2 linked regions of the Bombyx mori genome follow. The protein of the gene in region 1 purifies or fractionates together with the protein of each later gene. This does not show direct contact. Links are inferred from orthologs where the notes say so. Each region holds a gene or a part of one and is shown in the gene's direction. Other genes may lie near its edges.

Region 1 (5,319 bases):
TCCATCGGCTAGGATCTGTCGTAGAAAACCACAATTTAAAATTCAGCAGCTAACACTTCGCTGTTTTTTCTTGCCTAATACCTTTAACTCTAAAAAACATTTCAGGTAAAAGACATGAAGGAATACGAGTTCGACCCGGCCAGTACAGTGCTGGACATTTGTCGTATGTACGTGGAGCTAGGTAACAACGAGCGGTTCTGCAACGCCGTGTCCGACGACGGCCGCTCCTACTCGCCGCAACTGTTCACCCTCGCTGAAACTGTACTAGGTAACCTTGGCCTAAAGGTCTAGAAACCAAGCCATAAACTAAAAAAAAAAATACTAGTAAACTTCTTGGATGATTTTTTTTATTGCTTGGATGGGACGGACGAGCTCACAGCCCACCTGGTGTTAAATGGTTACTGGAGCCCATAGGCATCTACAACGTAAATGCGCCACCCACCTTGAGATATGAGTTCTAAGGTCTCAAGCTTAGTTACAACAGCTGCCCGACCCTTCAAACCGAAACGCATTACCGCTTCACGGCAGAAATAGGCGGGGTGGTGGTACCTACCCGCGCGGACTCACAAGAGGTCCTACCACCAGTAAAAATGTAATATGCTTTGCGTCGACCCTGTCCTACCGCCTCAATGGCCCCGACTGGGCTGCGGCTCGGTTCGGGATAGGGCGCCGGCTGTGAGCGGCAGGGGTTTTTAGTGAGGTTCGGCCCTCTTCGGTTCGGTTCAGTAATCTCTTAGGGTTGTCACACGGTAATTTTTTTATTATAAATGCTATAAAAGCCGTATTATACGGTCAGCTGCTATTTGAGTGACGTTGCCCTATTTGGAATTAAGCTCCAGTCGGAACAGTGATGAATAATCGGTAGGCAGCGGCTTGGCTCTGGTATCTTTAGTTAGTGCCCAGTAACGTAATGTTTTATTTATAATCAGTGACGTAAACGCCGTATGTATACGCATGAGTATTACACTGAAAAAGAACAAAGCCTGATTTCGTACCGATTCTTCTCTAACCTATGGTAAATTTATGACCATTTTACAGTGGCTGTAGAAGCTTAGTTTAAGAAAAAGAACGCTTTAATTTTTTTACTACTTTGTTTATTAATACACTACTTTAAGTACTTTTTTTACATACTAAAGATTTAGTCTTCAGCCTCAAGTCTGAACGATACATTTTTTTCATACTACACTAACAAATAAAATGTGAACAGTCCGCATCGGGGGGGGCTTTCTCATAAGCACACTGCGGGAGGTTGCCGAGCGAGTGAGACTGCTCGCCGAACAGAAGCAGAGAGACGAGGAGATACTCGCGAACGCTCCAGACGAGTTCCTCGATCCGATCATGAGCACCATCATGCTGGACCCCGTCGTGCTTCCGAGCTCAAGGACCACGGTCGACAGGACGACAATAGCCAGGTATTTTTTGAAGTTATACTTCTTTAGGCGCGTTATGAAAAATTGATGAGAGTGAAATTTTACGATGCGCGCGCACCGGGGCACAAAATTAACAGAAATGAAGTTGCCCACTAAGTCGCTCATTACAATACGACCGACGTAACTTGGCGAGTCTGAATATAGCCGCAGGTGAACTTTCGGGTATGTACACTCGTAAAAAAAGTGTTATTAGCATTCATTTTTTAGTAATATAAATGACAAAATTATTATTTAATATAATTCATACTAAATATTATTAAATCATTAACGTTAAATATTTATTATTAATTACATAATATTAAAAAAAATAATATATATATATATAACTTCTTTCGCGCGTATAAGTACACGCACCCTTTTTATTTTACTAGTGGTAGGACCTCTTGTGAGTCCGCTCGGGTGGCCACCCTGCCTATGTCTGCCGTGAAGCAGTAATGAGTTTCGGTGTGAAGGGTGGGGCAGCCGTTGTAACTATACTTGAGACCTTAAAACATATCTCAAGATGGGTGGCGCATTTACGCTGTAGATGTTTATGAGCTCCAGTAACCACTTAACACCAGGTGGGCTGTGAGCTCGTCCACCCACCTAAGCAACAACAAAAAAATGTTCCCTTCAAGCAAACAACTTATTATTGGTATTGATAACATATTAATGAGCGTATTTTGAGCCCACACCGGTACCATTGTTCACCGTATTTCTGCCCTGAAACAAACAAGTACATCTGCTGTACAAGTACTGCTCTACTGACAACCCTTCAAATTTGAATTTATTAATCGGCTGATTTGAGATTGCGTTTTCGGGAGAGATTTCAATACACCCATCGCATAGAATGCACGTGTAAGAGATATTTGAACATTATATTAAGCGTGTGGACGGTCTGCCTTTTTAACCAACTTCAAAAAAGGATGAGGTTATTCGACTAGTTATTTTATGTGTTGATTTGTTTTCTAGGTGAACCGATTTTAATGATTCTTTCTTTAACATAAATGCGGTTTGAGCGATCAGAGTTATAAAATTGTCCATATTATTTTCAGGCATCTTTTAAGTGATCAGTCAGATCCATTCAACAGGTCGCCGCTCTCCATGGATCAAGTAAAATCAGACACTGAACTCAAAGAAAGAATACACAGCTGGATCGCTGAAGCCAAAAAGAATAGTTCACAATCGACGAGCACTAAAAATTAGGGCTGTTTTCTTTTAAATGTACATTTTAATAAAACTTTAAGAATTTATTAATAAATATGTTTTAGATATAGTAGCGAAATTTCAGGTCGAATAAGTACTGAATTTTTTAACTGATGGTGAGACTGTACATAAATAATAATAAATACATTTAGTTCATTCTAGATGATTCTTTAAAATTTTCAATCAACCTTTTTATTACCTAAGTGTTCGATTTCGTTGCTCACTTGAGACCACAGCATTGTTTCCGCTGTTGTCTATGACACAAGAAAATCATTATACTTGAAATAGCGTAATTTTTTTTTTAAAGTACTTTCTTCATATCTTTCGTAAAGTTTCGATTTCATTTAATCGTTGAACACCAGACTAGAAAACCATTTTTAGCCCAGTGGACTGCAGCGGACATCCTGTGACCGCCAATAACTCGGGTCGGGGGGAGAGAAGAGGGGGGGCTCGTGACAGACACAGTGTCTGTCATCTGTCATCTCTCGGAAAATAATGAGTAGGTACTCACTGTTTCCATAAGTCGTCCACTATTTTTGAGTAATTTTTTCACCTCCACGATTTTTTAGACGATTCTTGATATTGGTGATGGTGGTGGGTTACTTGTTTGGCGTCGGTCATGACGTTCAACGCGTTAAATTACTTTTAATTGTTAGCTATATTGTAGTGTTACTATTCGGGCTTTTAACGTCGCACTATATCAAAATGTTGAATAAATAAATTTCTATGAATTCATGACACCACGTCTGTAATAAACCACAAGGGATATTATTTACAAAAATAAATTAAATATACCAATTGGTCCATAACATATTTTTACATTTAATTTTGTTAAATTGTATACTAAGTAACTGAAATAAATAAATGAGAGTGATTTATTACTGGTGAAAGGACATCTTGTGAGTCCGCACGGGTAGGTACAACCACCCTGCCTATTTCTGCCGTGAAGCAGTAATGCGTTTCGGTTTGAGGGACGGGGCCATTGTAACTATACTGAGACCTTAAAACTCATATTTCAAGGAGAGTGGCGGCGTTTACGTTGGTGATGTCTATGGGCTCCAGTAACCACTTAACACCAGGTGAGCTGTGAGCTCGTCCACCCATACAAGCAATTTTTATTTTTTATTCAGGTACCATACATAGGATATGGTAAATATTTGTTTAAAATTTACTTGTGGTTATTATTTTAAACTCTGATAAGTACATAATATTAAGTTTAGGGAGACTTTTCCGTTTCTTACATATCATTTGTTGATAAGATTGTTTTTATGTTTTTAATGAAAATGTTTGATTTTTCAAATAGTAAATTCGGCATTTGGTCGAACACCTCGGACCTTTTGCCACCGTTTTGTGGCATCTATAGAATATATTTAGTTAATAAAACATTCCTTCAAATATAAATATATATATTTTTTAGCCAGCGTTATTCTTGGTTTAAATTTTTAAATAGAAAAATATCCGAAAATTATTATACAATAAAAACAGACTCCAGTTTATTTTCTTTGTTTTTTATTTGGAGTGTTTCAATTGCTTAAAAATTACAAATGATTTTAATGATTTAATATTTTCTCTCCACCCTGTTTATATTCTATGAGTTTTGCTATTTTTTTTGTTTTTTATTATAGTCAGCTATTACTAATGTGTTAAAATATACTAGAGAGGAATGATTATAGACGCCTGTAACAGAATCGATAATTTATTTTATTTTATACTGTTGAAATATTGGAAATATAAATTAACAAAAACTATAAAAATAAAAAACATCATAACAATACTGAAACTAGTCTTTAGCTTTGTTATGTTGATCCATGATATCTTTTTTTTTACTGTACATTGTTTTGTGATAAAGGACAGAATTTAAATTATTTATGTTTTTTTTTTTTCCAGTGTGTAGAAACTGTGTAAATAAATTTTCTTAATGCATAACATTTTTTATTTTCTTAATCGGTATTTTGAACTTTTTTTAATCGTTCCCCAAAATAAGAGCAGGTGCGATGTAGTGTTGGTTATTACTAATTCTAAATATATATGAGAAATCAATATGTACACGCGAGCCACGTGTTTTACGTTGACGGTAAAGCTGGCCTTGACAAAAGCTTAGGTATCTGGACGCCGGTAGCTTCAAAGGGCTATTTCAGTTTCTCCGAATTAGAAGGCAAACTCGTGGGGCTTCCTCAGTGACTTGTGTCTAGGACTTGTTTGCCAGTGACTAGGTTGCTTAAGGAACTCAGCGACAAAGTTCGATAACAACGGTGACCGAAGCTTGGTGAGCCTAAAACTACCGACATGCTTAGAGCGACGGTGGCTATATGTTGCCTGGTTGCAGGGTTATTAGAGGCGGCCAACATAAGTGGGTTATCATATCACGACGATTTTTCAAAGAGGCGTTCTGATGCTGTCTTCGGGCACAGGTACGTACCTAGTGCTCGAGTCTCGATTTTGAGGTTGTCATAAAGATTTACATTCCTCATTGGATGACATGAAGAGAGTTAATATGAGGGCGGGTTCGGTGACCAAACACTACACTTGCTTAGGTAATTACCATACGTATGCAAGTTTTGTAGAGTTTCACCCTGTAAAGAAGAAAGAACACCTCCATGACGACCTGGACTTAGAGTCCACCAGTAAGTGTATGCAGTCGGCGTCGATGCGCCACTTCGATAAAGCGGCACGACATGAGAACCCTCTCATCGTGACCGCCGGT
Region 2 (5,319 bases), on another chromosome or scaffold:
TTAGTTTATGCTAACACTATTATACGATTTTTTTGGGCTGGGGGTCAAATCTCCTACGAGGTCCCCGCGCTTTGGGGACTGGTCTGTAGATTTCGGGGACCGTAGGACTCGAGGGATGATTAGGGCCCTACCCCTACTAAAGGACGAGGCGAATCGAAGGTTGTGCAACGTCAATCGTCTAGGTACGGTGACCCGTCAGACGGTACCGCTGGTGTCCCGGAACACCATGCTGGACCAGAACCAGCCTTCCGGTTCCTTTTGACAATCAGATTGCTTCATGGCAGCGCGCCGCACACCCTCAACCCCCTCAACATTCGCCGCGGGAAATGCGCAATTTTTTTTTAAATAATAATGCTTCATCTCTTTCTAGCTCGAAAAGCAGAGGGAGATAGAACGACGCGCCACCGGCAAAGGGGTCACGGAACTCAAGAAGTGGCAAGCGGAACAGGAACTGAAGCAGATACAAGTATGCAATGAGCTTACGGCCCGCTCGACGTGAAGGGGTTACGAGCCCATGGACATCACGTGATAACAAAACGTCGTGTCTTGTGGGAGTCAAATGTTCTTTTTTTCTTTCTTCTGACCTCGAGCTGCCATTTTAACAAAACTAGTGGTCCCGCAGTAGTCGAAATTCGACTATAATTAATTGAAATTATAAGTTTGAACATTATTAAGGTTTTATTGTCAAAGACTATTGTACTTCTATCATCACAGATTTCGCCAAGACTACACTATAGACAAATAATATTGAAGATAAACAATATTAACCTATTCTCTATTTGACCATAGACTTTGAGCAATAACTAAAGTTTGGCAATAAACAAAGAGTATATATATGTGTGTGTGTCAAATACATGGTAGTGTGCGTAATGTTTTCTTTATTGATTTAAGGTATTATTAGCATTACTTAAAAAAATAATAAGCATGCTGCACTCCTTCTCTATATTCTCTATAAGTGTGGAAAATTTCATACTCCTCCGTCTGCGCAATTTTCGTAAAAAGGGATGCAAAGTTTTTGCTTCGCGTATTAATATATAGATATATATATGTCAGTCAGTTACTTCGTTTCGACGTGAACAAACACACGTGCGCATTTATAATATTAATTTGGATCGGTTTCGCTGGCTTGGGGACGAATTTGTCTCAAAACATTCTAGAGTACCTCATAGAAACACTTGGAAGGATTTGGCGGTATTAAAAAAACCGCCATTCGTATTCCCGATGCAATGTCTCGTCTCGTTACAGGAAGAGAGGAAACGGGAGAAGCTTGAAAACGAGCTCGCCCGGCAGCGGATCCTGCAGCAGATAGCGCAGGACCGGGCCGAGAGGCGCGCCCGGGACCTCGCCCCCGCGCCCCCAGACCCCAAGCCCGCGCCCCCCGCGCAACTGCCGGGAAGTAAGTCTTGAACAACTACCGTCGCCCATGTACCTCAGCAATGCCAGGGGCAGAGCCAAGCCGCTGCCTACCGCTTAATACTCTCCGCAAGCCTCGTTTGAAGAAGGACATGTCACAGCGCTCGGGAAACACCGTGGAGGGGAGCTCATTCCATAGCGGCATTTACGTTGTAGATGTCCATGGGCTCCGATAACCATTTAGCACCAGATGGACTGTGAGCTCATCCATCTATCTAAGCAATAAATATATATATTTTTTTATTGCTTAGATGGATGGACGAGCTCACAGCCCACCTGGTAAATACGTACTGTAAATGCGCCATCCACCTTGAGATATAAGTTCTTAGGTTTCAGTATAGTTACAACGGCTGCCCCGCCTTTCAAACCGAGACGCATTACTGCTTCACGGCAGAAATAGGCGGGGTGGTGGTACCTACCCGCGCGGACACACAAGACAGGTCCAACCACCAGTGATAACGCAAATTGTAATTTTTCGCACCGCAATCTGTACGTTGGTCCGTTGTCAGCAGCAGGGGGGGACGGCGCGGGGGCGCGCGTGCAGTTCAAGCTGCCCGACGGCTCCTCGCACTCGGCGCAGTTCGCGGCCGACGCCACCGTGGAGGACCTGCGCGCGCACGTCAGCCGCAGCGCACAGGTGAGCCCCTGGGGGGACGACCTTGGGGGTCGGGGACCTTGGGGACTGGGGACCAGGGACAGGGGACCGGGGACAGGGGACTTTGGGGACCTTGGGGATCGAGGATCTTGGGGACCGAGGACCTTGGGGATCGGGGTCCTTGGGGACCGATAAACACACTAATATATACATATGTACATGTACACTATTAAAAATTATTTTTAACTAGGTGACCCAGCAGACCTCGTAGTGCCTCAATCGATAAATAAAAGACCTAAACTTTTGTATAAAGTAAACAAACAAAAGGAATCCGTCCGACGAAGGACACATCAAAGGAAAAACAAAATTGTTATTTATATTCAATTCCGAGCATTTTCATATTTATCTATATTTTAAACCTTCTCTGGACCTCCACAAATAATTCAACACCAAAATTAGCCAAATCGATCCAGCCGTTTTCGAATTTTAGCGAGACTAACGAATTGCAATTCATCATTTTTATTTATATAGATATAGATAGATTGAGTGGTCATTGTCGGTCGGACTTATCGAACCGCGACGGGGCAACGCCAAACCGCCGACGCTCGAAACATGTCTTATCGGATCCCCTGGATTCACTCTCGGCGCTTTTAGGACCCTCAAGAACAGGTTACCGTCCTCGTCGAAGAATTCAATGAGTAAATTAACCCAGAGTAAATCAGCCCATTAAATTTCTCAGTGGTAGATTCTGCGAAGCACTGCTCTTGCTAGGGCTAGTGTTTCTTTTTTTTTTTTGTCTGGAGGGAATCGCCGGACTTCCGCCCTTCACTGGGGATGGAGGGCGGGGCATGTCGGAGTCGAACTGACTAAGGTCTATCGCTCAACAACCCACGTCAGAACCCCGAATGAGGCAGAACTCAAGAAAAGGTAAAGGGGGGAAATTGAAGCGTTTAGTGCGGAGCGCATCTCTTCCATCATCCTTCCCGGGCTAGTTTTAGCAAATTCTCTCAGGTTGAGCCCGTGAGCTCACCTACCCGCGCGTAGCGGAAATAGCCTCATATGCTACCAGAGAGTAGGTAGGGACAACAAACTGGGTCGGTGGACAGTCACAAAGGCAGGAGAGCACGTCACGATGAGTGCGCCTGATGCTCGCACGGCTGGAGACGGTGGCCAGTGTGGTCTGAACGTGAAGGTTGAGGTGGACTACGTCTGGTCCCCAGCTGCAGCCGTCCAGCTTCACGCTGTGGACGGCGTTCCCGCGGCGCGAGCTGACGGCGGGGGCGGAGTCCCTGGCGGCGCAGGGGCTGGTCCCGTCGGGCGCCGTGCTGGTGCTGCCCGTGCGCGCCGCACCCCCCGCGCCCGCACTCACTTCCTCCTTCGCCTCGCTGCTCGGTGAGTGCATCAATAAAAGAACCAAAGCAATAAAATTATTATATCGCTTTTTTTTATTGCTTAGATGGGTGGACGAGCTCACAGCCCACCTGGTGTTAAGTGGTTACTGGAGCCCATAGACATCTACAACTTAAATGCGCCACCCACCTTGAAATGTAAGTTCTAAGGTCTCAGTATAGTTACAACGGCTGCCCCACCCTTCAAACCGAAACGCATTACTGCCTCACGACAGAAATAGGCAGGGTGGTGGTACCCACCCGCGCGTACTCACAAAAGGTCCCAGCACCAATAAACTTTCAACTGTGTTGAATGTTTGCCCAGCATTCTTCTCGAGCCTGTTCTCGACCCTCGTGCTGGAGCCGAGCCAGCAGGTCTACCAGTGGATCAGATCTAGGCTGTTCCCCCCGGCGGCGCCGCGCTCCCCCGATCCCCACTCTCCCTCCCGCGCGGCGCCCCCCGGCCTGCGCCGGAGGGGGAACGTGCACCGTCTGCCCGGGGACACCGGGGCTAGCGACGACAACAACACCTGGAACGGTAACTCAACGCAGCAGATGTAACCGACCACGCCTTCCAAGGGTGCTCAGGACTAAGGGTCCCCCGAGCACAAACATATCCTAGAGTTTGTCTGAAGCTCGTGATCTCCACGGCATCATGGCTCCCTTCACTCATCAAAGCTGATCATTCCGGTACCTTCGACCTACGATAGCCTCAGACTGTGTGGGCCCGTGAAACAGCTTCTTTTGTCTTTGAAATAAAGGTGAAAATTCAGTAACATTAGCCGTAATAACTTTGAAATTTGAATTGAATATTTGTACCTCATATATCTAGTAGTTAATATGGTTGCAAAATTTTTTTTTAATTGCCCCCAATGGTGATATTTGCTACCCTCATCACTGCGTGTCCTCACAGGTCATCGACCCCCCTGACATCTGAGTGTTATATGAAGATTTAAGTATACAACATCAATGCTTTTGAACCCGATGTTTTGATATGGACGGGGGGTGAGGGGGGCCCGCCCCCCGGCCCAACCTCTGACCAATCCTGCCCTTATTTTGATCCCACATTCAATTAGTTTTGTAATTAATATTCTGTCAAAGATAAATCTCGACTGGAGCCCAGCTGAAAGATGTCCACTAATACAAGTTTGAATGTGGCAAATCAATCTTGATCTTATTCTAGTGAACGCTATCCCTTTTTCTGTCCCTGTGGCTTTTTTTTTTAAAATAAAAATCGCGGTAATCAAAATTTTAAATCTACCCTCAAAAATACGAAAAATAAGGCAAAAGCGATTTTAAGCAATGACGCGATCGGATTCTTCTTAAATCGACATTAAAATGTATATTTTACTGAAATATTTGTTCATTTATTGTTATCAATGTTAATTAATATCATAAGATGGTGTTGTGGAGACCAGACCAGGTTTATATCACTATTCTAAATAATTGTCTGTTTGTTCGTTGTTCACACGCAGGTATGAGAATGATGTTGAGAAGATATCTTCTTTCTTTCTATCTTTGTTTCTCTCTTTCTTTCTTTCCTTATGCGAAACATAATAATGATGTTAATAATAATTGTAGAAATCATATTTATCACATAATAATATAATAAGTCATATTTAAATAAATAAAATAATCAAAAAATTGTAATTTTACTGTAGTTTTGTGGAATTGAGAGCAACAACATATTATCGGTTGTCGTGATTAGTATTTTTTTTTTATGAAAATAAATGTAAACCTTAAATTTATAGCATTAAAGTTGTGAATTCTGCTGTTAGCTAGAGGCACTTCCGACTTTGTGGTTGTATGTATTATTAAAACACTTAAAGTTTAATCTTTTGTTTGATTTATTCGATTCACTATTTCTTGTTTTTTTTTTAAGTCAGTTGAATCTATGTGAAGCATACGGCGTGACGTCATTTG

What was found. The genes of interacting proteins can lie anywhere in the genome.
Region 2: the proteins of ubiquitin conjugation factor E4 A (region 1) and UBX domain-containing protein 4 purify together in Homo sapiens (affinity purification with mass spectrometry; 3 studies listed by BioGRID and IntAct, counting the BioPlex papers as one, with this or other methods). This does not show direct contact. The link is inferred for Bombyx mori from reciprocal best matches to the Homo sapiens genes UBE4A and UBXN4.

The regions. Positions count from the first base shown.
Region 1 is NC_085114.1:9,639,182-9,644,500, reverse strand, and holds the end of ubiquitin conjugation factor E4 A, read left to right. Parts: intron 1-105; coding exon 106-268; intron 269-1,207; coding exon 1,208-1,412; intron 1,413-2,464; coding exon 2,465-2,615; 3' UTR 2,616-4,541; downstream 4,542-5,319.
Region 2 is NC_085108.1:1,311,638-1,316,956, reverse strand, and holds the end of UBX domain-containing protein 4, read left to right. Parts: intron 1-370; coding exon 371-466; intron 467-1,245; coding exon 1,246-1,396; intron 1,397-1,922; coding exon 1,923-2,050; intron 2,051-3,228; coding exon 3,229-3,400; intron 3,401-3,721; coding exon 3,722-3,957; 3' UTR 3,958-5,230; downstream 5,231-5,319. UniProt on the Homo sapiens protein: Involved in endoplasmic reticulum-associated protein degradation (ERAD). Acts as a platform to recruit both UBQLN1 and VCP to the ER during ERAD.